Linked DNA regions of Drosophila melanogaster. The main gene of each other region encodes a partner of the protein of the gene in region 2 in a complex. Each region holds a gene or a part of one and is shown on either strand. Other genes may lie near its edges. The genes, in order: Orc2, Orc3 and Orc4. A codon is read from its position in the direction of its gene.

Region 1 (4,659 bases), on a different chromosome or scaffold from region 2:
TTGCTATCAAGAAAGTGTAAATAAACTAGCCTTAGTCGCAGCAATTACATTTCGTTTCGAGTGCACAATTAACTAGTTACAAGTCCAACGCTTTAATCTGTGTATGTGCGTGTCTGTATAGTGAATAGGTAACCGATATTAGCCTTTGGAATGGATGAGGAGCACGGAATGGTCAGGCGGTAGTGAGTCTTATCATTTTTGGCATGCTTAGCTATGTTTAGTTCGCCTCTTCTGATCCTTAAAATCGTATCCAAATGCGCTCTCATCCCCGCAGTCGTCGAGCACTTGCAGTGCTTTGTGAAGTTTTGTGTTGCTATATGCTCGCAACTGGAGCTGAGGAAAAAAACTAGCCATCCTAGAATGTGTATCTTCGAGCAAAGCGACAAATTTTATGCATGCCAATCTTAATGTGTAGAAATTGACAAAAAAATAAAAAAGAGCGAAAACAAACACTGCGCACTCATCATGGGCAATACAAGTGACAGCAACACAACATTTTTAAAAAGCGAAATTGTAATTGTATTTAACAATATTAGATAATAAATTAATATGTTCTAAAATTACGCCGATGGCCTATTTCTTCTCCTGCTCCTCGAGAAACTGCTGCAGCAGTGCGCCATCAATGGGAATGGTTAGCTGTTCGGAGCCATCAACGCTCCGTTTCGATTTGACCAGCTTGTGGTCGAGGAACTCGGTGAGCTGGGCACGCAGTGCCAGATCTGAGCTGACCAAAAATGCTTCGCGACAACTCGAATAGAGATCCCTGAACGGCATGCCCTGGTATGTGGCATTGCCCTTGTTCTTCAATTGATACTTAACAATCAGCATGTAAATGCCACGCGAATTGGTCGTTAGCGATGAGAAGACACTGCGCATCGAGGAGAGGGCCAATTCGCCGGAATTCTGCACCAGCAGCGAGTTCTCGAACGCAGTTTCGTTCGTATATGGCAGCATTGTTGTGCAGTCCCACCACGAGAAGTTGAAGCTGCACAGCTTTCCCTGGTCCCACACTGCAAATTCGTAAACAATAATTAGTTTTGCTGTCGCACTATAAAGATCTCAAAGCATCGGTGCACTCACACAGTGGGGTATTTATGTGATCAATGGAGGCCAGTAGATGAATGTTCGGTATGCGCGCCAGGCGCGAAAGAATCGCCTGTGCCTTCACATTGCGAAGCATGGCTCCATCCAGATTATGGACGATTAAGAACAAATGTGTTTCCGGTATCAGTGCGAACTCCTCCTCGATCATATCCACTGCTTCATGTGGATTAGCCGGACTAATGCCCGCATCTAATATGTCGCTTGTGATGCTATCCAGCATATCCTTGATGGTCAGACTGGGAAAGAAGCCATTCACCACCAATACCGTTTGCTTATGCAAAACTTCCCGATGGAATGACTGCAGCAGCTGGTGCTTGGAGCCCAATCCATATAGAAGTATATTGAAGCCTTCGTTCAGAATACACATCCACTTGGGAAAGTACGATCGATACTCCTCCATAATGGCATTAATAGAACCCTCATGCTCCGCCGATGTCTTGATTTCCGACAGCAAACTGAAAACACGATCGGCGGCCAGGCGAGGATTCTTTAGGCGATCCAAGGTGTGATCCGAAGTGAGGATCTTGCTGCTGGCATGCGAGTGAAAGTAACCATCGCTCTCGGGCACAAACTCATTCGATTTTTTCGCCCTCGCCGATTGTCGCAGGCGGGCTGCCGATGGAGTTTTCGGCAGAACGGGGACTACAATGGCACGGCGGGCTCTACTGGGCGTTTTGGGCTCATCATCGGCGGCGTCGTTGTCAGAGGAGTTGCCAGCATCGCTGCTACTGCTGCTGGAGGAGGATTCCTCGTCACTGGGCCGGAAATCGCTTTCATCTCCAGAAAAATCCTCATCTGAGTCGGCCACTATTTTGGCAATCTCTGAAAGTGATAATGAATTTATAAATAATGGAAAAAATGGTAAAAGGACGCAGAAAAAGGCTACCCACGCTTCTTGACGCGGGTGCGCACATGGGCGGGAGTCTTTGGCTGATCCATGGACTTCTTGCGCTTCGTATCCGGCGTCTTGACACCCAAACGCGGCGTTTTTGGGGTCTTGGGCGTGCAGGGCGTGGCATTTAGGGCGGCCAGTGCCATGGCATCGCGTTTCTTGGGCGTATTGAAGCCAAACATGCTGGTGCCGGCCACATTGTACTCGGATTGGATGAGATGCAGATCCTTGGCAGCGGGACGGGCAGCATTTTCCGACTCCTCGATGCTTTCTTCTTCTTCCTGATCCTCCGCATCGCTGCTCCGTTCATCGGACATTTCCACATAGTTCACAACAATTCGCTCTTCCTGGCCTTTTCCATTGCTTTCCTTCTGGTACGCCTGGTATTTCTTGGTGGGACTTGGACGTCGGGTGGAACGCCGACTGGTGACCTTGGGCTGAGATTCCACTGCATTCCCAACCATTGCCGTGTTCAAGTCCTCGGATTCCTCCTCCGAATTGGTGAGGTTCTCAATGGACATGAGGTTCTCCTTCCGCGGCGTCTTGTAACCGCCTTTGTTGCTGGCACTCATGACGCTTGCCACTTCACTGGGGGCCCTGATTATCAAAATATTCAATTGGTAAACAAATAGTTCGCAAAATATACTCAATGCTCAGAAGTGGCGGGAATTATCGATAACTAAGACATGCCAAGAGTGTGGCCAGCTCTCGACCTAGGAAGTAGCTAAGTTTCTAGCGTAAAAAAAACTAAAGGGGCATGACAATTAAAACACAAATGTTATAAATATTTGTATAAATATATATTTATATAGGTAATAATTACAAAAAGAAATTCCGTGACACAGTTTTTAGAAATAACTATATTGTTCGAATAAGAATTGCATACGTTATCGATAAATTTAAATTAGAATCCAGTCACTGACAAAAGCTGAAGTGTTTGTTGGCAACACGTGCGCGTACAAAGCGGTTATTTTTTCACTGTCACAAATTCCTTGCGGATTAACCACAAACGTTTTTAAAACTAAAAAGTGTTAAAATCGGTAAGTTTAGGAAAAACAATATTTGAAGATGGGAAAATTACGCTACGTTCTTATTCTGAATTGCGGTCGTCAATGGACTTGCGGTTAATTTTCAAATAATATTGCCTATATTGGCAAAATAATAACACAAAGTAGATTTGCGTTTTCAGATATATTCAAACAGGTTCAAAGAGTATTCAACTTCCATGAAAATGGCTTGGCGAAATTGATTGTAACTGGAATATGTAGAATATTTAGCATATGTTGTGTCGTTTTAATTAAAGTTTAAAAACTTCGTAAGCCTTATTTTTCCTTTTTTAATTAACGATCAAGTTTACTTCCATCAGTGCGCTGTAAATCGAAAACCAACCGATATCGATATCGTCCTGTTCTCTTTCTTCCCACGTTCGTTCAATGCACTGAAGCGCGTGCCCAGCGAGCTTCGAATTTAAACGCGTTTAGTGAACGTATCGCATGTTTGTGAGTTGTGAATCGCGCACTTAAATTCTAAAGGATTCCACCTTTTTCAAAACGAAAACATAGAAAGTTCTCGTCCAGCGTAAATAGATTTTCACTTTGTATTTCATCGCGTGCTAAAAGTTCTGTTAGCGCCATTTTGCTGCGTTTCCTTTAACGCGCCGTTCTTTCATTCACACGTTCTTGCGTTGTTACTTTGAATTGAAGAAATGGAAAAGTCGGAGGAAAAGACATGCGTCGTCTGTGGCACTCCGACCAGATTGATGTGCCAGCGGTGTGGAGAACCGTACTGCAATGAAAAGTGCCAGAAATTGGATTGGCAGAGGCACAGGCAGGTGTGCATCATTATGCCGTGAGTTAAATTAGTAAATCCGTTGCGCAGCAGTGCATTAAGTTAGGGGTTTTTAATTCTTATACAATACAAATGCGTTTCCAGACCCTTGGTGGAGTGCCGGCCTCTTCAACCGGCGTTGAATCCAATCCAGAGCGTAGAGAACCAAGTTGCTCTGGCTAAAACTCGCACTAAATCGCCAATCCCATGTGTGGAGCCCACAGTTGCTGTGCCGAACAAGCCGGATCTATCGGAAAACTGGCGCAAACATTTGCTGCCGTCGGGCATGGAGTTTTTCAAGTGCCGCGTGACTTTCATGGAGAACGATGGACCCATTTGGGTGGTGCACGTGGCGAATGTGGAGGCCATTGAGCGAATGACGGTCAACATGCAGCGCTGCATGCAGAATAAGAAGATGATTCGTATGGAAGGAGTGCGGGAGGACACCCTCGTGGCCATCAGTGTGGGCGACAAGGTCCATCGCGGTCATGTTTTGACGGTTTGCCAAAAGAAGCAAGAAGCCAATGTCCGTATGATTGACCACGGTCAGATAGTAGCTACACCGTTTCGGGATATCTACACCATTGTGCCCAAGATGGCCGAAAGCAAGGCGTTCGCTTTCCGTGTTCAATTGCCCACGAACACTGGAGTTCAGGACATTAAGAACTTGACGCTCCGTATGTTGGGAACCAAAACCAGCGACGGAGCTTATCACGTCCATCTAAAGCCCAAGATGATAATACCACTAAGTTTGCCCTTGGAGATGCTGCAGCTTAATCCAGAAGTCAAAGTCATCCGGGTCTTTAAGGCAAATCCAAAGCATAACGAACCGCAGC
Region 2 (6,394 bases):
AATTTGTGCAGAAGGCGGCGCGAATCATCCGATCTGCCCGTTCCGACTATAATCTGCCCAACAAGGTTAAAACCGAGGTGTATATAGTATGCACGGATTCGGTGCCCAGTGAAATACTCAAACGCTACGCCAGCGATCTGGCCACAATCTCCTACTGCTCCAATGTGGTCTTTGACAGTCCCGCACCGCAGGGCTGTGCGATCCTCACCGTGACGGGCCAGTGCGAGGTGCACCTGCTGCTCAAGGGACTCGTGGAGGCGGACAAGGAGATAGCCAAGCTGCAGAAGAAGAGCGACCAGCTGGTGCAGACGGTGGGCAAGCTAACTCAGGCCATCCAGGCCGCCGACTACGCAACTAAGGTTCCCGCCGAGGTGCAGGAGGCCAACGAGACAAAACTCTGCGAGTCGCGGGCAGAGATCGAACGCATCGCTGCCGCCATCGAGACTCTGAAACTAATGTGAACAGGGAACGTGGTAACCGCTAGTCGGGAAGACTGGTAATTGATATTTAGTACGCTTGCCTTGCCAGCTGCTGGGCTTTACTTAAAAAATACAAGAACGCGCTTCACTCGCAAACAAAGTTAATGCATTTCGTACAGAGTAGACAAATCGATTGATGTTTTATTTATTCATAACGTCCCACACATGAAATTTGCCCCAATATAAATAAATAGAAAAGATAAAAATACCTAAGGGATTTTGGTTATTCATAGCCCGAGCGAGCTACCAGGTTAATCGAGTGGCATGATCCGTCTTGCGCTTCGACATCTTAATGTACCCCAGAAACTGCAACTCGGCTACGGCACGCGTGAATCGGGCCCTGGTTGAAAGGAAAACCAAATGAAATTGATGATATTACAGAGAGAAATCCATTTTTTTACTCACTGGATCTGGGGATCGATTTGTTCCTGGGCCACTTCCTCGTGGTCGCTGTCGCTCACAACAGATCGAAAGGCCTGCAGCCAGTCGAAAAGGTTGATCATGCGACCGCACTCCAGGTGCAGCTTGTAAACCACGGAGAGATCGGGCAGTGTGCCAACCAGCAGTGATTGATCTTGTAGCTCGCAGCACTTGCACTGCATGTAAAAATGTGGATTATTCAGGGCAGTGTGCAGTGCAGCCCGCGGAGCACCAATTATGTTTCGCCGCACGGTAGCAATGTCGCTGAACACAAAAAGTTCGTGAATAGGTGGTGCATCCTGCAGCGCACGGAGATGATCCTGTACAATCTGCGTTTCGATAAGCTGCAGAGTCTTTTGTAGAGCTCGTCCGAATTGGGTGGTGGGCGTGTTCAGCTGATGCCGCATCTTGTCCTCCTTGCTACGCTGTAGGAGCTGATCTTTCAATTCTTGACGCGAGGCCACCGGAGTCAAATGGTCAGTCGCCTGGCGGGTTTCATTGGGCGATGTCGTTGTAATTGTCGCCATGGTGGCCTTGACCACTTCGTCCACTGCAAGGCGTATAGCTTCTAACTTAGGTCTCAGCACAGCAGTGCAGGCCTCGCCCAATTCCAGCGGAGCAATTTCTTCAACCAGGAACTGTTCGGTTCTTTCCAGGGCTCGATTCACTTTAGCAACAAATTCGTCCTTGGACAGAAAGCTTAGCATCTGCAGGCACTCCTTGTACTCCGGCGTCGAAATGATCGCACGATTAAGACAGTTGACGTACAGTTCCCGGCGTAGCTTTCCCAGCGGACAGCGCGGCAAATCACCAACCAGCTCTGTAAGGAACTCCAGAGAGCAGCGGAAAAGCAGGAAGTGGAGCAGGCAGTCGCGCAGCAACTGCGGCAGTTTCTTCTTTAGGTAGTCATCGTCCGTGAGCACGGCTATGATGCGTTTGCAATCATTGATCTGCTCGACGTACGGACGAAACGATGGGAGCCTTCTGATGGTTTCCATATCCTCGTGGGTCAGCTGCTTTATGCGTCCCAATGCTTTGCTGTAGTCTGTGCAAAGAGCAAAGGCATTCCCACCAAAGAAGTGTTCCATCAGGCAGTACTTGAAGCCCTGAATAAAGCCGTGGATGGAGAAGTCGTAGTATAGGAAGATGTGCGTCAGGAACTTGAATGTCTTTCCCGACAGGTGGAAAGCGTACTTGGGCGACAGCAGAACTTTATCCAGCACCTAAAGGTTGTTAGAAAACCGATTAGTACATAAACTAGCACAGAGTTAAGGAATATTACCTCATTAAGGCCCGTGGGAGCAGCTTGAGTCTGGAACACCCTTAGACGAATCTTGCTGCTGACGTGGTATGGTAGTGTCCCATGGACAGCTGTCATGGCCGTGGCCACTCCCAGGACCAGGACGAATGGAAGCGAGCCGCAGTGAGCGCTCAAAATTAGAATAAGATCCTGCAGCACGCTTGCGTTAAAGCACTCAAAGTCGGGAAGGATGACGACCAGCTGGCGGCGCTTCTGTTCCGAGTCAAAATTGTTCGTGTACCAAGACTTCAACTGCTTCATGGTGCACTGCGAGCGACGTAGCCGCTTGCGATCCCGTTCGGCACCATCCTCGTCCTCGTCCTCGTCTTCCATTTGCTCCACTTCTGCATTATCTTCTACGAGCCCGAAAACCAATGTCTCAACGGCCGCCTTGAGAGTGGCGCAATCCCTGGACTGCAGCACACATACCATTGCAGCACGTTGGGCATGGAGTCGCTGGGTAAGTGCCGTGAACTGGCTGAGATGATCCGGCTGATTAATGCCCGTTAGCAAGGCGGCGGTGGGCAGCACCTCGTCCGGGGTGTCGCGCTCTGCCTGCCCCACCACAAAGTCCACCAGTTGCTCCAGAGTGCGGGCATAGCTGCGGTGCTGCAGGTCGGCAATGTGATCGTTTATCTGATTCCAGGCCTTGCGATATTCCTCATAGAAGGGCTGCTGCACTACCTCTTTGCCAAGAAGACTACTGGATTCTGCGGCAGGACGCTTCCGTTTGCTGGCCGCCTTTTTCCCTGCTCTCGTAGCGCCATTTTTGTAGACAAAACAGCCCTGCAGACAACAAAAATAAGTAGTTAAACATCTATGTCCAGTTTGGAAGCCGAAGCCACTCACCTTGGACACTGAAATGGTGGGATCCATCGCTGGCTTTGCACTGCGGCCCGATGTCGTGGAGTCTTTAAGTCGCCGGGTTGCGTTTATTTATTTATTTGTTTAGGTCAGCTCTGTGCCAATTAAAGTTTCTTCACCGGTAGGAACGCGAAATGAAATCAGCTGGCTGTTGTGTTTGGCGCCAAACGGGCGGCAGTGTTGGCTAACGACTTTAGGGGGTATCTTTGAAAACAAGTGTGAAAAGTATAAATTAATTGAATATTTCATCTAACATGAACTAATAATAAGAAATCATACCCTTCGTGCTCGTACGCCACCATTTTGGTGGATACGAATTCGTCGTAGTTTCTGTGAACAGCACCAAGTTTTTTGAACGTTCGCCATCGCAACGATCCGACCATTTTGGGGCCACTTGGAATGAGAAAAGATAGAGGAGCAGGAAATCGAGGAACAGTATGATGGCTGCCAGGAAGTAGTCCTTCGTGCGCATCTCGGCGAACCTTCCACCGTTTATAATCTGCGCGTGATACATGACAAACTGTAAGGAGGAAACTAAATGACAGAAACTAATTCAAAAATGTATGACTCAGTACTAACCATCAAGATGCTGATCACTATAAAGCAACGGGCGATTATAAACGAGTATGCGACATTAGCCACGATGTAGAGCATCACGAAGTATATGGCGCCGATAATGGAAACCACTGCAAGCACAAATAGCACCACAACATCCAAAGTAAGATCCAGCTTAAGGGGATAACAATAAAAATGTGAAGCTTCAGATTTGAATCAAATGGCTTTCATGTGGACTCTTCTTACCGGAAGAAAGGAACCACAGACAATAAAAAGCGCCAATGCTACGGTCCATATAAGGAAGCTGAAGAGAAACTGATACTTGTAGTGGCGGGCAACCAGCGGTGCAATCCCCAGTACAATGCATTCAAACTGGAAAGAATAAGTTCATACTGCCACCCAGGTTATGTTTCACATTGTAGACTTACAATTAGAAAGGCAAACAACCAGTTTACCATTTTATTAAAGCGCAGTACCTCGAAAAATATGAAAAGTACGAGGAGTATCAGGCCTATTCCAAAAAAAAGGCAGCTCAACCAATGGTACGAAGTAAAAAATTCCCTTAGAAAATTTCTGAAAATTAAGAAAAAGTGCAGTGAGGATGAAGTAATGTGAAAATACATACGTACACAAAGCGGAAAGTGGCCCATTGCAACAGCGCAAGGATCAGGAATATCGCGGTTAGTAGGTAAGTGATCAGAGCGAACTTTCTTCTTTCCTTCTTGTAGTAAGAACTTTTTTCCGGAATGTCTGCCATTGTGTAGTGTTTCTCGAGTATTATTGTTTGTATTGTGATGTTTTTTTTTAACGAATTTAAGTGTACAGTAATACGAAATGGGAACTAGATTGATTTTAAAATTATATTCTTGGGAAAACACGTAAGTGCATAATAAAATTTTTAAAATATTCGTTTTGGCGCCAAATGTTGCTGCTGGATATCGATATCCACTATCAGGGTTGCCACATTTTCAGCCGGTCAGCTGTTGCTTCCGATAATCAACTGCATCTTCTGTTATCGATTGGCGGCAACACGGGATTTTCTAACAATATTAAATAGAATAATAATAATAATTACATTTATACAAATACACGGCAGGGAAACAAATTGCACGCCAGTTTGGAGGAAATGCTCAGGACAGTGACCATTGAGCTTTAGTGGAACTTTTATTCCCTGAAACAAAAATCAAGAACATTGAAATTCTTTTGTGTTTCGAATTTTGATCAATTTATGACTGAACAGGTAATCAATAAAGTAGCTCCATTAAAAAACAGTAACTCTAACAATTCATTTTATGTATCCTTGTTTAAAGGGCAGCCAAGAAGAAACGTAAGCGATTGGTATGGAAACGCCTGCATATGCCACGAAATCTGGCGGAGAACTGGTGCTGCCCGAAGCTCTGGAGGACTTGATGGATTTGGAAGACCAGGACGCGGGCGGGATGAAGTCCAACGTTAAGGATAAATCCATGGATTTGGATATCTATCACGATTTGTACGATATAGAGCCTGCAGGTTCAAAGAAGCCTGACCAAATGGACAGATCCCTTGAACTGGACATCTACGATGATTTGGACGACTTTCAGAAGGCCGAAGATCGTGTAAGTTGTGCAGGAATACGTCCTTTCAGCAGAGTTACCCATTTACCATCTCACAGAATACCAAGGAGCTACAGGCATGGGAAGCCAAATACGAAAAGGCACTGGCCGAAATTGAAGCGCTAAAGGTTGAGAATAAGGCACTTGGCAAGAAGATAAAAACCATGGAGGTTAATCTACAGAATCTACTGGACACAGCTAAGGCGGAGGTAAAGAGAAAAGAGACACTGATTGCCGAGCTGCGAAACGAGTAAGTTAGCATATTGACTCCCTGCTTCTTAACAAACAACACATTGTTCAACAGAAAGGACGATGTATGCTTCCGACGAAAACGAGCACGGGCGTTTGACGTACCAGGTGCAAGGGAACCCGAAAGTAAGCGTCCGAAAGAATTTCAATCTACACCAATCGATGTCAGGAAATATCCGGAAACGAATAGAAATCCGTTCAAAACGGCTGCAAAGGACGCCGCTAAGGATGATGCTAGGAAGATGATGACCAAAAAAGATGACACAACGAAAGTCGTATCAAAAGATGTTGAAAGAGGCGTAAAATCCAAGGAGGATAATAAGATGGCGACCAATAAAGATGATGACAAGAAGTCATCCTCAAAGGATGATGCTTGGAAATCTAGGACAAGAGAAGACGCCAAGAAATCGGTCCAAAGAAGCAAGTCTCCCAGGCCGGAACACTCAAAGACCACCGATCGGAAATCTACTGCACAGGCTCGTCGTCCAGATCCACATCGCAGCCGGAGTCCAAAACATAATTCCCGGCGAGATCATCACAGGAATCAAGAAAGCAGTTCCCGGCACGCCAAACGGCGAAGCCAATCCGCATCGCCCAGGTCAGTAAAGCAGAGGGACATAAGTTACATTTGTTGATAGCACCATCTGATTTTTGTAGCAAGATACAATTGCCAAGAGAAAAAGCAAATGCCATCATCACACTTACTGACGATGAAACAAATGACCAACGCAGCAAGAGCCCAGTCCCCGTGACCGTCAAACTCGTAACTGAATCTCAACCGGCTGAAAAAGTCGTTTCCAACCGAAGGGATGCTGCTTTAGAAACCAATGCAAATTCCTCAAAGGAATCAAAAGTAGAGACGAAGGATATTACTCAACCGACAAATGGTTTAATTGCTGAACCTTGTATTCCAAAACATGAGATTATTCCGG
Region 3 (4,073 bases), about 12 Mb from region 2:
GCCAGCAGAGGAGTAACAGAGCTCTGAAAACAGTTCATGGTTTAAAAATATCCTTTAAGAAAGCCCATGGGTATAACTTACGTGCTCACTGCGTCCTATGCGAGGAATGGTCTTTAGGTTCTTTATGGCAAAGTTCTCGCCTCGCTTGCCCAGCCGCGGTACGTTCTTGGTGATCTTTAGGAAGAATCCTGGACTACTGTCGTCTGCCTGGCTTATGGCCACAAGACCCACCAAGAGCGAAACAGACAGGACTGTTATGATTCTCATGCTGATGCGACTGAAGCTTCACCTGACTCCTGCTCCACAATTGGTGGCCTTTATATAGCGAGATCCACCCGCATCTTGCGTGGAATAGAAATGCGGGTGACTCCAGGAATTAGCATTATCGATCGGAAAGTGCAAAGCAGATAAAACTGAACTAACCTGACCTAAATGCCTGGCCATAATTAAGTGCATACATACACATTACATTACTTACATTTGTATAAGAACTAAATTTTATAGTACATACCACTTGCGTATGTAAATGCTTGTCTTTTCTCTTATATACGTTTTATAAATTAAAATTAGTTTATTTTCCCAAAACAGGGCTTTACCAACTAAATGATTCGGTACAATTTTTTTTAAATAAATAAATATACAAAGTATTTCTGATCTGCTGCTAAATCAGAGAGCTTTGCGCCCACTGAGCAACCTCTGTGGGAAGGGCCTGGTATCGCTGCATACAGTGGTGAATCTGGCTGTATGTCAGCGCCAGCTTATGCATCTCAAACTCTTTCTGCACCTTACCTACGCCCCCTCCAGCTCCACCGGTGAGCGGCATGATCAGCTCTGCGATGCGTAAATGCTCGAAGGCCTTCAGGACAATGGACCGCTCCACGGCCTGCATTGTGGTGGACACTTTGGCAAACTTGGAAAAGCGCGCGTAAATGATCTCGAAGTTGAAGGAATCGCGATCGTAAATCTGCGAATGGTGCTTGATGGCGATGATCAGGCACAGCTCTAGGACTGAGAGCCCGCAAAGCAGCTCTATCTTGTCGTCGCCCTCAAACTGTGATCCCACTGCAGCCATTTTTTCGGCTGTGATGTGGGGAGATTGCGGTCGGAGATGTGCCACCAGGCGGAATAGGAAGTTCTTGAGATAGGCCTCGCTAATGTCGAAGTCATGGAGCGCTTGGAGGGTGCTTCTTGCCTGCTGAGTGGCCAGGACTTTGCATATTTGCTTGTTCCAGGCATCGCGTAGTCTGGGCGAAAAGCCGTACTCCCCGGGGTCAAAATGGTTGCGGGAGAAGTAAAGTGCCCCCGACTGGATGTTTTGTAGGTTATAGATTTTCTCCGCCGCCAGCAACAGTGAATTGCCGGTCGGGAGGGACAGTAGATCCCTGCACAGGTCAACGTAATCCTCAAAGCGCCGCAAGCTGGGAAAGAGAAAGACCTGCCGGTGCGAGAAACGCGACTTGACCCGCTTCTCCAGCAGCTCGATCACGTCGAGGCGACAGGTAACGCCAAGTACACAGATGGGCGCCTGGGCTGACTGGGAGACGTCGAAGAGGTTGTAGAGCAGGGTCTGGTTGTGGTGAGCACAGAAGAGGTCGAACTCCTCGAGAATAAAGATCACGCTCTTGGAATGCTTGCCACCCGCCTTGAGGCATTGCAGCAGGAAGGCGAGGTTCTCGGCGAACGATCCGAACACTTTCCCATCCGCAGCGTTCTCCAGCTGCATCTGCACAGTGATGGACTTCAGGGCCACTCGGTCGTCCGTGTGCAGATTACCGTCCAGGTGGACGATGAGAGTGTTTTCCCCGAACGATTTATTGGGCAGCAAATCGGCCAGCACGGAGTTGATGAGCTAAAGAATTTGAAAGCATAGATTACTGGATTGGTTTCCCGGTAAGGCCTGCACTCATACCGTTGTCTTTCCGGATCCCCGCGGCCCAAGGAGCAGCAAGGAGTTGGATTCCCCCATTTCAGCTGTGCGTTGCAGCAATAGGCGCACATTGGACCGCTCCTTTGCGTAGCCCCTCAAGGTGGTGTAGTCTCGCTGGAGGCGCTCCTTCAGGAAGCGCCTGATGCTGACCAGCTCCCTATCCGCCTCCGGCATTTTCGCTCTCGGATCGGAACTCCTTTATTCCTCCTTATTTATTAGTTAAATGGACGCACAGATAGTTTGGATTTCTGCCAGTAATTAAGTCGCGCCAAAAAACGTCAACAATGCATTGGGGATGGAACAAAACCGATATTGGTTCATTTAATGTACGGTGGTTTGGAACTCTGATACTACTCAGTGTTGCCTTAAGCCGCCTGAAAAATATATTCGTGCCACAAACCAATACGATCTAATTTCTGCGGCTTTAGCACATTTTGAAATATCAACATTTTAGTTCATACAAAATGGACCTACGATTGAGGAATATGTACAATAGTAACTCTATAAATAACAATCAATTATACATATAAACATCTTTAAAAATATGAACAAATTTCTTTATTAATCGCATAGTCGTTGGCATTTTGAGGGTCAATTTGCTGGAATAGGTTTATTTGGAATGCTGTGTATTTTAAATGTCCATTAAAATAAGTTATTAAACACTCAATGGATTCTCAGAGATTATTTAATATCGGCTGGCAATTTCATAACAGCAATGGATCGAGTAATCACAATTAATAACTTTTGGAATGCTTCAGCTTTTGGCACTCGGTATTGTGGTTATTGTGATCCAGACCTCTTTAGGAATGAGCGGATTGTGGACTTTTCTGCTGATTTTTATGTCTCCGATGGCAGTAAGAATCGAATGCGTATGGCTAATAGATGGCACTATAGAATAATTGATATCCAAAGATCCGAGGACACTTCGAATTCAATAATGTAGTCTGCCTCGTGCGCGACAGGATGTTTATGGACTTTGAGTACTGTTACTTGAAGTCCGTGAACCGCACCTACAAGTACCTTTCGCTAAAAACAAAGATGTTCCGCCTGCCCGTCGACAACTGCGAGGTAAGAGTATAGAACTGTGTCGGTCTCACACCACCCGACCATCTTCCAGACCAGATTCCAGCTGAGGATGCGCGAGAACAGGCGAGTCCTGTACAACTTTGATTTCAAGGTGGACTCCTGCAAGTTCATGCGCGACCGCAAGCACGTGATCGCCAACTGGGTCTACCAGACCTTCGGCCCCTACTCGAACCTGAACCACACCTGCCCCTACGACGTGAGTGAGCGTTGCCATGTTCATGCCGCATAACCTTCGCCTTTCTCACCCACCCACCCACAGCACGACATCGTGCTCGACAAGCTTCCCGTGCAGCATCTGAACAAGCTGGTCCAGTCGATCATCCCCGATGGCAGATACATGATGAACAGCACATGGATGGTCGCGGGCATTCCGCGCACCGATGTCATCCTATACTTTACCAAGAGCTAAACAGTCAAATCCAGTAATATCCAGGCTCTTCAACCCGTAAGCAGAAATATTGGTAAGGTGTTATGCCGTTTTAGTATTGGATGGGGGTCAGCAGGACCAATATAGTAAATATAGTAAGTCTAAGTGGGTCTGTATGTGATGTATTTGTCACATTACTGAGATTTACGAAAATAAATATAGTGTAGTGACGAAAGTTAACTTAAACATGTACATAGGTTTCAGACTAGGCCAGTTCGTAAGCGTTAACAATTATGTGCAGAGTTTCTGCACAGGTGGCTGGCAGTGACCTGGATGCACTGCACCTGTCGTCTGTCAAGTGGCTGCTAATGCGATTAGGGAGCACACAGAAAACGGGATTGGCACTCGGGACTGGCAACTCAGCTGCCAATCAGGTGGGCCAGCCACAAACTTCACACATTTCGGACACATATATCAATCCACTCCACAACCAGAAGGACACGAAGTAAAGTAAACACAACCCCACACCCCTGACAAGATGCCGGCGGACATAGTGACCACGGAGCAGCTGCGCTACCAGCTCGCCTTCAGTCATGCCATGGAAAGGACGACGAGGCACTGGCAGGAGACCTTCGCGTGGTACCCTAAGATGCAGTGCTGCCATTATCAGCGGATTGACCAGATCTATCTGAC

The links.
Region 1: the proteins of Orc3 (region 2) and Orc2 are in contact, whole or in part, in a cryo-EM structure (PDB 7JK6), measured with the Drosophila melanogaster proteins. Residues at the interface, in NP_476904.1 of Drosophila melanogaster: Gly10 (codon at 2,985), Cys11 (codon at 2,982), Phe12 (codon at 2,979), Val13 (codon at 2,976), Tyr14 (codon at 2,973), Lys15 (codon at 2,970), Asn16 (codon at 2,967), Ala18 (codon at 2,961), Thr19 (codon at 2,958), Arg20 (codon at 2,955), Ser38 (codon at 2,901), Leu39 (codon at 2,898), Leu40 (codon at 2,895), Tyr50 (codon at 2,865), Tyr53 (codon at 2,856), Arg54 (codon at 2,853), Asn106 (codon at 2,697), Pro108 (codon at 2,691), Arg135 (codon at 2,610), Asp136 (codon at 2,607), Ala142 (codon at 2,589), Arg177 (codon at 2,484), Arg180 (codon at 2,475), Asp308 (codon at 2,032), His312 (codon at 2,020), Gln316 (codon at 2,008), Lys319 (codon at 1,999), Tyr320 (codon at 1,996), Met323 (codon at 1,987), Phe327 (codon at 1,975); in NP_731873.1 of Drosophila melanogaster: Ala331 (codon at 1,510), Ile332 (codon at 1,507), Lys342 (codon at 1,477), Met344 (codon at 1,471), Cys345 (codon at 1,468), Ile346 (codon at 1,465), Leu347 (codon at 1,462), Asn348 (codon at 1,459), Glu349 (codon at 1,456), Phe351 (codon at 1,450), Tyr356 (codon at 1,435), Leu358 (codon at 1,429), His369 (codon at 1,396), Lys375 (codon at 1,378), Thr377 (codon at 1,372), Val378 (codon at 1,369), Leu379 (codon at 1,366), Val380 (codon at 1,363), Val381 (codon at 1,360), Asn382 (codon at 1,357), Phe385 (codon at 1,348), Asp392 (codon at 1,327), Ser396 (codon at 1,315), Asp400 (codon at 1,303), Ile401 (codon at 1,300), Leu402 (codon at 1,297), Asp403 (codon at 1,294), Asn410 (codon at 1,273), His412 (codon at 1,267), Glu413 (codon at 1,264).
Region 3: the proteins of Orc3 (region 2) and Orc4 are in contact, whole or in part, in a crystal structure (PDB 4XGC), measured with the Drosophila melanogaster proteins. Residues at the interface, in NP_476904.1 of Drosophila melanogaster: Ala217 (codon at 2,364), His250 (codon at 2,265), Gly251 (codon at 2,262), Leu253 (codon at 2,256), Pro254 (codon at 2,253), Tyr255 (codon at 2,250), His256 (codon at 2,247); in NP_477320.1 of Drosophila melanogaster: Lys395 (codon at 859), Glu398 (codon at 850), His399 (codon at 847), Ile402 (codon at 838), Lys419 (codon at 787), Lys422 (codon at 778).

What each region holds. Positions count from the first base shown.
Region 1 is NT_033777.3:13,962,917-13,967,575, reverse strand, and holds Orc2 (origin recognition complex subunit 2), read right to left. Parts: upstream 2,692-4,659; 5' UTR 2,643-2,691; intron 2,585-2,642; 5' UTR 2,569-2,584; coding exon 1,995-2,568; intron 1,927-1,994; coding exon 1,081-1,926; intron 1,011-1,080; coding exon 574-1,010; 3' UTR 501-573; downstream 1-500. Other genes in the region: Kots (kotsubu), read left to right, coding at 3,702-3,844, 3,929-4,659. UniProt on the Drosophila melanogaster protein: Component of the origin recognition complex (ORC) that binds origins of replication. DNA-binding is ATP-dependent, however specific DNA sequences that define origins of replication have not been identified so far.
Region 2 is NT_033778.4:13,202,134-13,208,527, forward strand, and holds Orc3 (origin recognition complex subunit 3), read right to left. Parts: upstream 4,415-6,394; 5' UTR 4,376-4,414; coding exon of another isoform or gene 4,248-4,375; intron 4,192-4,247; coding exon of another isoform or gene 4,047-4,191; intron 3,991-4,046; coding exon of another isoform or gene 3,865-3,990; intron 3,793-3,864; coding exon of another isoform or gene 3,643-3,792; intron 3,584-3,642; coding exon of another isoform or gene 3,343-3,583; intron 3,268-3,342; coding exon of another isoform or gene 3,257-3,267; 5' UTR 3,076-3,256; coding exon 3,049-3,075; intron 2,986-3,048; coding exon 2,182-2,985; intron 2,123-2,181; coding exon 885-2,122; intron 820-884; coding exon 723-819; 3' UTR 595-722; downstream 1-594. Other genes in the region: ValRS (Valyl-tRNA synthetase), read left to right, coding at 1-461; CG34315 (uncharacterized protein), read right to left, coding at 3,257-3,267, 3,343-3,583, 3,643-3,792, 3,865-3,990, 4,047-4,191, 4,248-4,375; FLASH (FLICE-associated huge protein), read left to right, coding at 4,959-5,216, 5,273-5,463, 5,518-6,060, 6,120-6,394.
Region 3 is NT_033778.4:24,795,192-24,799,264, forward strand, and holds Orc4 (origin recognition complex subunit 4), read right to left. Parts: upstream 2,224-4,073; 5' UTR 2,102-2,223; coding exon 1,910-2,101; intron 1,850-1,909; coding exon 662-1,849; 3' UTR 549-661; downstream 1-548. Other genes in the region: ETH (ecdysis triggering hormone), read right to left, coding at 1-23, 82-267; CG12849 (uncharacterized protein), read left to right, coding at 2,734-2,781, 2,840-2,995, 3,045-3,209, 3,273-3,422; CG3611 (uncharacterized protein), read left to right, coding at 3,919-4,073.